2 linked regions of the Schizosaccharomyces pombe genome follow. The gene in region 2 interacts genetically with the main gene of each other region. Each region holds a gene or a part of one and is shown on either strand. Other genes may lie near its edges.

Region 1 (5,440 bases), on a different chromosome or scaffold from region 2:
AGCAGAGTCCAGAAAACAGAGATTAGCGGAATTGAGGAAAATAAAGCAGTTAGAGAATAAAACTCGCGATTCTCAAGAGGTTCAAAAAAATGTAATTGAGCATCGAAATTATGATCCAGAAGTGCAGGCACCTAAAATGGGATTCGTGGAACCGCCAAACATGATTGAATCAGTTGAAGCATTATCGAAGGAGATTGAAGAAAAGACTAAGAGAAAAATTGAAGAACAAAGTTCTGTTCCTGTTGAAGAACTAGATTTGGTAACTTTGCGACCTAAAAAGCCTACATGGGATTTAGAAAGAGATTTAAAAGAGCGAATGCGGTCTCTGGAAACACAAAATCAAAATGCAATAGCATTTTATATACAACAGTTAATTTCTGAACGTGCGCATAGTACTGAAAAAGCTTAAAGCAAGACTAATGCTTTCTAATGTTGGATTTACTCTCTGTTAGTTAATATATAATTCATAGGCTTAATTATTGCATTGATCAATTGTTAAAGGAAATAAGTTTAGGATTTTACATTTTATACTTTTCTAGTTGCGATTGTATTGGAGGTATGCACTTCTATTAAAATAATATTACAGCTTTAATTCTAAATCCGACCACTTCTTAATGAAGGGTTTGGAAGGTCAAATTTCCGTTCAATGATATACAATAAAGAATGAGCAAGTCTCAATTTGAAAATTACATAAGTGAACTTATCCAATAAGTATACCATGATTCCATATCGAGAAAATTGCTAAAATTATATAAAAAAAAACCTATTTTCTTTCATAAAAACAATTAGAGCTTTCATTTTCTATTACCTCATTATTCACTATTCTACGAACATTTTCTCGTAAAACTGACTAGACCCATCAAAAAGTGTAGCATGGATCATGTCAGAAATCTTCTTTGATAGCTCGAGCGTTATATTTTAAATGGCATTGTCCATACTTCGGATACTATTGTAAAAGGTCAGATGGCAACTTTCCAAAATCTACCTGATCGAGAGTATTTGATCCACCTTGTCGGACCACAGAGATACGTAGACGCAGTTTGACTTGAGAACCCGATGGCCCATGAACCCGCAGGGTTTGAGAAGTTTCTCCACCAGGCTCCATACTTGTAGTCCTCAAGGGCTGAATTTTCAGTTTCTGTGATTTGGGAACTGCCACTTCTAGATGTATTTTCTCAACCCTAGTCATTGGATTTTTATTTTTAAATTTAGCTTCAATGACGGCTGTTTTGGTACTTTCTTCTTTGGATGGCACCAAAGTTAACGTCACATCGTGTTTATCAAATACAACAATAGGAGGGTATGATTTGGAAGTTGATGGTATGGAAGAAAGCAAAGACAAGTTGTTTGATGGTTGGCTGGCTGAAGCATTAAAGTCCAAAGAAGCAAAGCTGCTTGCCAAGCTGTCAACCGGTTGAGCTGAAGGCGCCGGAGAAGCAAATAAACCAAGGATATCTTCAAAATGACTCTTTTTGGAAGTAGAAGGAGCGCGGCTTAAGCTGGATTGAGGGCTTTGAGTCATTTCATCCACTGGTGTTTCTAAGGGCTCAGCAACAGAAGGGGTAGTTAACCCAATGAGGTCTAGCAATTCGTTGCTTTCCTGAACACGTTTTTCTACGTGTTTGTTAGCCTTTAGCTTTTGCTCCGCATTTTGATAAGGCGTGGTCCTAGGAGGAGGCAGAGGAGCGGGAGTTGGTTCTAGAATTGTCTTGCTCAATTTGGAGTCATTTAATATAAGGTGGAACTCGACAGATCTTTGTTGCACCTCGGTGTTCTTGTTTCTCTTATAGGAATAAATTATCTTGTCAATACGAGAAGCAGTAGAAGAAGAACCTAGACGAGCACTTAACTTCGTGAGAGCGAAAAGACCATATTGAACAATTATGTACCTAGATGCTTCAACGCTATTAAATACTTCCTCAATAATGTCCACAATATCAGATTCTGAAACAGAATGAGGAAGGGTTTGATCATCATCAAAATTCATTGTTGGTGAAAGAAGCATCTGACCATATTCTCCAATTACCCAAAAAGCAGAAAGAGTTAAAGCTTCCTGAGATACATCTTCCTTTAAAGCAGCGTACAACTTTACCACAGCATATTCATGAAGTTCAGGAGCACTAGCTATGAGTCGTAAAAACGTTGAAAGAGTCGATTCACTGACAAAGTTGCCAGCAGATTTGAAGACTCGTAGAAGGGTATCGAAATGCCATCGCTTATTGGGAGCAAAAGCATTTGTGACTTCTGTAATATATTGAGCAGTGGATCCACGTAATTCATCAGAAACGTTATCAAGAAATGATAAAAGCTCACGCACCATGAAACGAACGTTCGCCTCATTAACGAGAAATGTAGAAAGTTCAAGCGCACGAGATTGAATAGAACTGTCGACATCATTAAGACAAGCAAGGATAGTTGATCGGTGACGCTGAACTGCATTTTCTTCACTATTTACAACGAGTTTCAGCATATTAAGAGCAACATAACGAGTGTTATTGTCACGATTACCTAAAAACTTTGCTAAAATATTGACCCCCAAAACTCGAAGGCTACTGTCAGAATTAAGATCAAGGATGGTACGCACAGCTTGATAAAGAATAGCATTACCTGCATTTCTAGAGGAATCAGTGTTAGTACAGACTTGAGCTAAAAGATCACTCATTTTGTCGTAAATTTTAGGGTTATTTTGACCAAGTATTGACAAAAACTGAAGGATTTTAACTTGCAAAAACGGATCAGATATATTGCCAATGTTATGCTCAGAGGAGTAAGTACTAGTGGACAATTGACGAATACGATAAATCAAATCGTCAGCTTGACTTTCAAATCGGGATATTAGCGACGGATTTATTTTGCAAGCACTGATGGCAAAAGCAAGAGCAGCCATTAAAACACCATGACTTTTTGAATGTAACAATTCATCGGTTTTCTCAATATATAAACTTTCCAAATCCGGTTCTTTTTGAATTACTCTAAGTGCACAGAGAACAGCCTTCTTTGATATATAATTATGATGGTTAGAGCAAAGTTCGGCTATGTCGTTTGACAAATCCCTTGCAAGCTCAGGGCCAGCGACATTACCAAACGCAGATAATGCCAACCCCACAATAAATTTGTCTCTAGATTTCAAGTCATTTTGAAGAGAATTTGTCAATAACGTCAAAACTTCCTGGTTCTCGTCTAACAGAAGCATAGCTGCTAGGTATCCCAAACGTTTATCCATGAATCGCGAACTCGACAACAATTTTAAACATTCAATCTGACCAAAGTGTGTCGGCTCACCGAGTAGAAATAAATATAGCAGCTTGGCAACATTTTTTCTGCGCATACGCATGTCATTAGAACCTTGACGAATGTTTTTTCTGATTTGAGCCGACTCTTTGAGAATCGTTGTGTGCTCCTCAGCAGTCGTTTTGGATGCCCGAACAGCCTTTATAAAAGATTTTAAACTTGACATCTTTGGATGCGTCTTTGGGGAATTGGTGAAACCTCTTTCCACTCCCGAACAAGTAAGATGCAGGTTCTTTGGATGTGTTGTTTGCATTACTTGGCTGTTGCTTGTACATGCGGTAGGGTATTGCACGGTAAATTTCTTTAAAACGAATTTAACGTTGCGACTCTTTCGTCAATCTATCAATAATGAATACTAAAAAATATGCTTTAAATAAAATAAATTTTAATTTGTTTTGTTGCTGCTGTGTTACGTTAAGTCAGCTGAAGTGTCTTTTTTTATAATTCCTAGTTTTTATTAAGCAGATGTAAATACCATTTATATTGATTAACTTAATATTATGTTACCACTTATTGCAAGTACATTTAAGAAGGTGTACTATGGCTAAGAGTTGAATATTTTTTAGGTATGGTTTTTGTGCTTTTCAGTAATCATATTACGTTTAATACACATTCCCTTATTAGAGGTTCTTAATAAAATCCATGTGCAATACTAAAGTTATCTTTCCATCCGTACCAATATTCACTGAGATATTTTACGTTCCTACTATAATTGATTCCAGTAAATATTAACTTGCATTTCTATGAGATGTATTGAAAGCAAACAGAAAAACGCAATCTAAACACAGAATATATAAAACAATGAAAATCAAATCAATTTCACTTAACAAAATAGGATGCAGCTTTAAACGACGCTCAAAACTGATGCATTCACCAATACTGCACAAATTAAAAGAATACCTAGCTTCCTTTGGTTATCTGTGTAATTTTTGAATTATCCTATCGAATTTGCTATATGGAGTTGTTAATTGATGGGCAATATCTGGAATTTATGTTTCTCTATTCGTTCTTGACCACGCTATGTGGCTTTGCTTCTTAACTATGCAGTTTGTAACCAGTTTTAATGGCACGTTAAATCACAGTGAGTTGTATTTGTGCACTACTATATTGCGATATGCAGGTAACGCGAAAATCGGGTATTAAGGTGTTATTGTAAATTATTATTGAAATGCTCATAATATGTAAACTAAGGGAAAAAGGTTCGATTGAGCATTCTTTTTTGTTTGTACCTGTCAGTCATTTGGTAATAAGCTACAATAAGCAAGTGCCAATGTCGTATCACATATAGCGGATAAATGAATAGGACATGTGATATATAGTGATACGTAACGAAATTTTACATAACGTGGTGTAGTATTGCAGATATTGCTGAGATCAGGTGGTTCATCGTCTTAGCTCGCAATTCTAACTTATCAACTCCTTTGCTCATTTTGAAACTGGAGACTTGGCTTTTCCTTACATAAATCGCATAGAACGTGAATTGCTTAGGAGTTCGAGCTTTTTATTTACTTCCATTCTATAGTGGAACATTTGGCATAGAATTTTTATTTTTGGAATCACGACTGTGGAGTTTTCGTCATACCAGTTCTGTCATCTTGAAATTCCAAGTTGGAACTTCCATCAATAGATTACATTTCTAAGTTTCTTGCTTTCATTCCTCAATTTTTTATTTAGAAGCGAAGCAAAAAATAAATTTAATCTTCCTACGTTCATATCCGCTTCTTTTTCAATTTCTTTGATACTGTTCGCGATACGTAGCTGCTGATTTTACGTTATTTTTTTGTTTTATCTTTTTCTTTATATATTTATCTTTTTTGTTATATATTCACTTAGTTGCTTTAATTGCTGGTTATTTAAAGATGATTGCTGCAACACCCGCTAAATCCAAACCATCGGATGTCAACTTGGAACAGACGTTCAAAGGTGTTTCTGAAACCTCAAAAATTGACCTTCGAAGGTCTAGGGCCGCTTACCGACCTCTGGAATTATCTCCTACTCCCTCGATTTTTGCTCGTAATTATCAACGTAATGCGGTAGACTTTACTGGATTTTTTGTGTTATTTTGGGTTGCTGTCTCTATTATGATTTTCATGAGCTTTTTAGAAAATTTCGAATTGACTGGAAGACCAGTTGTTGGCACTATTTTTAA
Region 2 (5,848 bases):
ACGATAGAGCGTTTTATCATCGTTAAAAAATATTGTTTAGTGATAAATTCAAAAGCAGAGCTTTTATAAAACCTTTAGACATGAATGATACATAAATTTAAGAAAATAGTGAAAGAAAGCAATTTTACGATTCACGAATATGGGTTTTCTCTGTCGTTCCAAGTAAATTTAACAATAACTGCTTTATGTAATATAAAATTTCTATAAACAGGTCATGGGAAATAGCATGTGGGAGATGTTTGGAATGGTTGATTCTCAATGTTTTCACATTTGCAACGTGAAAGGATTGCATCCATATAATTAGATATGCTCATAAATGTTTGTTTATGAAACCAATCAATTATCATTAATGGTTAGGCTTTCTAATACTGTATTGTACTTGAAGCTTTGAATGGCTAAAATACATAGCATCTGTGAAAAGCAATTTGAAAAGAAAGAAAACAACAGTACATAATAGTAAAGTTTCAAGATTTCCTCCAAAAAAGACGGGAATAAATCCCAGAATGAAGAATCAAGCTCATGACTGAGAATTATCTTAAGTATTCCACATTCCCACAAAACCAAAAAAATTGAGAACTGGTGATTAGTTTTCAAGCATCGATGTTTTCAATCGAAGCAATCGCTATAAGTTGAGATTTCATAAACCTGTACGATTGAATATAGCAAGAACTGGGGATCCTGAAAACTGGAAATCCTCTGTGTATACCTATTAGAATGAGTGTATCCTTAATGGAGCAAAAAACTTTAGAATGTCAAGAAAATTGATAAAATTCAGCCATGGAAAATCAATCTGTTTTAAAAGCCAAGAATACATCCCTTCATGTATCTAAATATTCAAAAAAGGAATTGCAAAATTGACATTTGCCCTTTTAAGTAGTAAAATCCTAAACGAAAACACCGATCACACTTTTGGATTGTTTCAATTTAAATTCAAAAGTCCTGATTTATCCAAATTTTCATTTGCTACATCTTTATTATATCAAAGTAACACTTGTCAATTCATTTCATGCCGATCTTTCGGTATATGGATGATCGTTCGGAAAATCAAAAAGATGTAGTTGCATGTAGAAATTCAGCGTAGAGAAGAGACAAATTATTAGTTTCATTCTCCAATTCACTGTCTTATTACAATTGTGCACTGGGTTATGCAACATCCTCCATTTTAAAACGATTTAAGCTGAAAAGGAAAAAGACTGTTCCAAATAGACAGTACTTTACAGGCTCAGTCTCGAAATGAAAATTTCAAAAAGGTAAAACATTGAAGAAAATCTTGAAGCTAAAGCTTAATAAGTCAAATCATAGCTCTTGTTGCGATTTACACAATCACCTTAGTATACATTGTCTAGTAATGAAGACTCTGGATTTAGAAAACCTCTTTAAAGTCACCTTGTGTCAACTTAAACCCCTAATAAATAGTAAAGAAATGGTGTTTTCACGACTTTGTGTCGTTCATGACTGATTTTCAGAATTGCTTTTACATAGATTTGCAAACCAAACAGTCAATCCATTTGCTCTTAGAAAGACCATGTTTTCCTCTTCGCAGCAATCATGTATCTAAAAATATGATAGATTCTTTTCAATGAAATCATAAAAGTTCATTCTAATAAAAGAGAAGGTAAAAACATGTCCATTATTTATACATTTCACCTTCTTCTAGCGACTCAAAATAGGAACGAGGTTCCTTGATACTCGGTAAATCACCTAATAAGAGACGGTTCACTTCGTTAGTTATTTTTATTGTGCGATCACCGACAACCTTAAATTTTCTGCTCTGAGAACCAGCACATTCCTTTATACAAATGGACGTACATTCTCCATGGTACGTGTCATCCCCGTATCACAATTTTTTTTAGGAAGGTAGTTATTTGCAAATTTTGAGCTAAGACCTTCTTCTATTAATTAAAAAATAAAAAGAAAATATAACAATTTTTATTTTTTATTTTTTAATCTTTTTAAAATTTCGATATTCTGGAAATTTGCTGTTTTAAGCCGATAAAGTTGGCGCTCGTGCATCAAAGTTCAGAGGTTTTTCTCGTGCTTCTGGGAAGCGTGAAGAAGCCACCTTAATCAATGTATTCAACGACTACCATTGTTACAATCGCTCGCTAGTTCGTTTTCAATCTTCGTTTTAGGAAATCCTTACTTGATTAATATATCCTTCTAACAGAAATATTTTATTTTGTCACTAGTCCCAGCTAGTTGCCTTTATATTTTTAATCTGCTTCAAATCATTTACAGTCATTAGAGTTCATTCTTTTTTTGCTACCTATTATTTTGACAGGAAAGGCTAATTCTTATATATGCCCCAACCAACATGTCTTTTCAACAACCTTCCAACGGAGCTCAAGGAGGAAACAACAATGCATTAGAGAAAACCTCCTCCAACGAAGCTACTTCTTCTTCGTCCACCCAGGTTTCGTCCCTCTCTGCAAGTGGCATTTCGGTAAGTACTCCTCGTGTTTCTCCATTTGAACCTGAGAGAAATATGCAGGTTCAATCATCTCAGCATCTTGAAGCAAATGTGCAAAGTCCCGTTTCGTCTCAGACAACTTATGCCACTCCTTCTGCATATGCCGTACCTCAGGAGTCTGAAATAGAACTTCATGAATCTGAAATGGTGCCTCAAAAGCCCAAGAAAAAGAAGCGTTCTCGAAGGAATCGCAAAGCATCCAGGAAGAAAATACCCGCCACTCAGAGTTCCTCTGCTGATATGGACACGTTGCATGTTTGCCCGACATGCGGTTCTTGTTCGGATTCAAAGAAACCACAGTCGAACAAGAAACATCGTGGTAGACGTGTCAAACACAGCCCAAAGTCTACCCTGGAGGTACCTGATGGTATTCCGGATATCAAAGCTTTATCTGCTTCCATGGGTTCCTCTTCTCAACATGCAAGCCGCTATAACGAAGGTCGCGGAAGTTTTGATACTCTCGGTACACATTACCATCTTAGCAAAAGTCGTAAATCTTCCTCAAGCGATTCTCTTTATTCGGTGTCCTCTATGAGTATAAAGAATGATTCAAATTCTGATTCGTTATCTTCGAGTTCTTCTTCCGATGTTTCTGGCAGTGACGAAAATTTACCTATAGACAAGACATTGTACCTCTCTGTCGAGGATCCTTCATTTATGGTTCATCCCCGTAGACCTAGTGCTACCAAGTCTTGCTCCGCCGCGGTAGACTGTCCGCACACCACTATTCCAAAACCCCCCTACCAGTCGGATACAGATCTCACCGAACTTCCAACGAAGTCCACTGCTCAGTTTTCCGATGAGACGTTTACTGTTCAACCAAGACTTAAGAGCACACATTCTTCTATTGCAGACAATGAGGACCGTGAAGTTGATTCTCAAGTCGATGAGAATACACGGGTCGTTGAGGAAGATGTGTGCTTTCCTATGCAAGAAGAATCGCATGTCAATAAGGGAATTGATTTCGATGAACTTGACAATTTCGCAGAAGAGGAACTTCAAAAACAAAGGCAGAATACTGATCACTTTCGCTCTAGGCAATATAGTACTTGTAAGCCTTTTGAGCCTCACTGGAATGACTTAAGTCCACACGATCCTAATGATCCCTCTAGCTCCTTGCACTCCAATAATGCAGAAAAAGCTGCAGAGGTTCCTCTTCGGTCTTCTTACTATTCCGGCGGGAGACGATCTGTTACTTCTATGTCGGATTCTCCCTATCGGTTTAGTTTCTTTTCATCTAATCAAAATGAAACTATCCATGCATCTGTATTATCGGATTTACTGGATGACGGGGCGACTAGTTTCCGCTCCTTATTTTGTCCAGAGAAGGGTGTTTGGTGGTTGGATTGTTTAGATCCTACTGATATAGAAATGCGTGTACTTTCGAAGGCATTCTCGATTCATCCTTTGACTACAGAAGATATTCGTGTTCAGGAAGCAAGAGAAAAAGTTGAGCTTTTCGGTTCCTACTATTTCGTTTGTTTTCGATCTTTTGAACAGGATCCCGAGCTAGCCAACTATTTGGAGCCTTTGAACATGTATATCGTTGTTTTTAGAGAGGGCTTGTTAACCTTCCACTTTAGTTCAGCTACCCATCCAGCTTCTGTGCGACGTCGTGCTCGACAACTTCGAGATTATGTGCATGTTTCCTCTGACTGGCTTTGTTACGCCCTCATTGATGACATTACGGATGCATTTGTTCCGTTGATCCGTGGTATTGAAACTGAAACCGAGGCTATTGAAGACTCGGTACTTGTTGGGCGTAGTGAAGATTCTTCTGATATGTTGAGACGAATTGGTGAATGTCGCAAAAAGACAATGGGAATGTTCCGACTTTTATATGGAAAGGCAGATGTTATTAAAATGCTCGCTAAGAGATGCAATGAAAAATGGACTATTGCCCCTACTGGTGAAATTGGTCTTTACCTTGGAGACATTCAAGACCATTTAGTCACCATGACTTCCAACCTTTCCCAGTTTGAGAAAATCTTGTCACGCACACACAGTAATTACCTTGCACAATTGACCTCAAATTCAATCGAAGAGAATTCTCGCACTAACGGTGCCTTAGGTAAAATTACCCTTATTGGTACTTTGCTTGTTCCCATGAACTTGGTCACCGGTTTATTCGGCATGAACGTTCCAGTCCCTGGAAGAGATACTAACAATTTGGCTTGGTTCTTTGGTATTCTGGGTGTGTTATTGGGTTCAATTGCAATTGGCTGGATTATTACTATGCGATACAATGCCTTTTAAAGCCAGTCAGCTTGCTCAATTACACATATTTAAGCATTGAAATGCCATGAGTATCATCAATTTATTTTCAAAGACATCTATTTCTGCCATAAGTAGGGTTTAATATTCTTTATGTATAACCTTTCTTTTAAATTCTTTCTTGAAGGAAAAATGGATCAATTATTATTATCATCTTACATTTATTATTATTATTTTTATTATTATTATTATTATTATATATATATATGCTATATATCTATCTGTCTATCTCTCTATAGTATTTTTGCTATACTCTTTTTAATTTTTTGCTCTATTTTAATATTCTGAGGAAAATACAATTTGGGAACGAAATAAAAAGCAAATAGATATCTTTATTAGATATTGTTCCGTTGCTGGATATTACACTAATCGCCGAGGAATCGTGGGTCATGAGGTAGATATATAAAAATTTGTATATAGGATAATGTTAAATAACATCTTTTAGGCGGAGAAATTGATTTTATCGATAGAAGTTAGTTGTAAAATGGTTAATCATAGCGTATAGCTTTGTATTTTCTGACGAACAGCCTAAGACGTTTGCAAATTAAAAGAATTGAGTTCTGACCTCATTACTCCCATTTTGTGTAACTAAATTTCGTTTGATGAAACTGTAGAACAATAAAAAATTGAGCCATATGAGTTTATTCTTTCCTCAAAAGTTGTCTAATGAAAATTACGACACTAGACTTTTACTTGCTAATCAACAGTTCAGGTTTGGAAAACACCAAGTAAGAAAGTGCTATCGTGTTCATGGCCGACTAAGGAATTACTGGCGTAAGTGGTTTTTTTAATAACATCTTTTTAGTAATGAAAAAGAAATATACAAACAGTAAATACGAAGAAACTGAATAAGTAATTAATGAACTCAAAATACTACAAAATCGAGCACTCATTTAATTGTTTAAAGCATTGCCGGTATTTAATTAGTTGTTTTTCGGTGAAAGCGCATTTAATTTAAGCATTTCATCTTAAAAACTGGTTGCTCATACTAAGTTGGAAGCATATGGGATTCGGTTTCGCAAACCCATTAACCACTCAAAAAATCCTTCAACAAAGAGATTATTGATTTCCTGTTGCCGTATATATCATTACATTTTGATATGT

What was found.
Region 1: of SPOM_SPBC27B12.12C (region 2) and apl4, a mutation in one rescues a mutant of the other (synthetic rescue), as found in Schizosaccharomyces pombe (one large-scale study listed by BioGRID).

The regions. Positions count from the first base shown.
Region 1 is NC_003421.2:2,400,084-2,405,523, reverse strand, and holds apl4 (AP-1 adaptor complex gamma subunit Apl4), read right to left. Parts: upstream 3,528-5,440; 5' UTR 3,458-3,527; coding exon 947-3,457; 3' UTR 721-946; downstream 1-720. Other genes in the region: protein Cwf18, read left to right, coding at 1-409; acyl-coA-sterol acyltransferase Are2, read left to right, coding at 5,151-5,440. UniProt on the Schizosaccharomyces pombe protein: Adaptins are components of the adaptor complexes which link clathrin to receptors in coated vesicles. Clathrin-associated protein complexes are believed to interact with the cytoplasmic tails of membrane proteins, leading to their selection and concentration.
Region 2 is NC_003423.3:1,350,209-1,356,056, reverse strand, and holds SPOM_SPBC27B12.12C (CorA family magnesium ion transporter), read left to right. Parts: upstream 1-1,828; 5' UTR 1,829-2,314; coding exon 2,315-4,726; 3' UTR 4,727-5,198; downstream 5,199-5,848.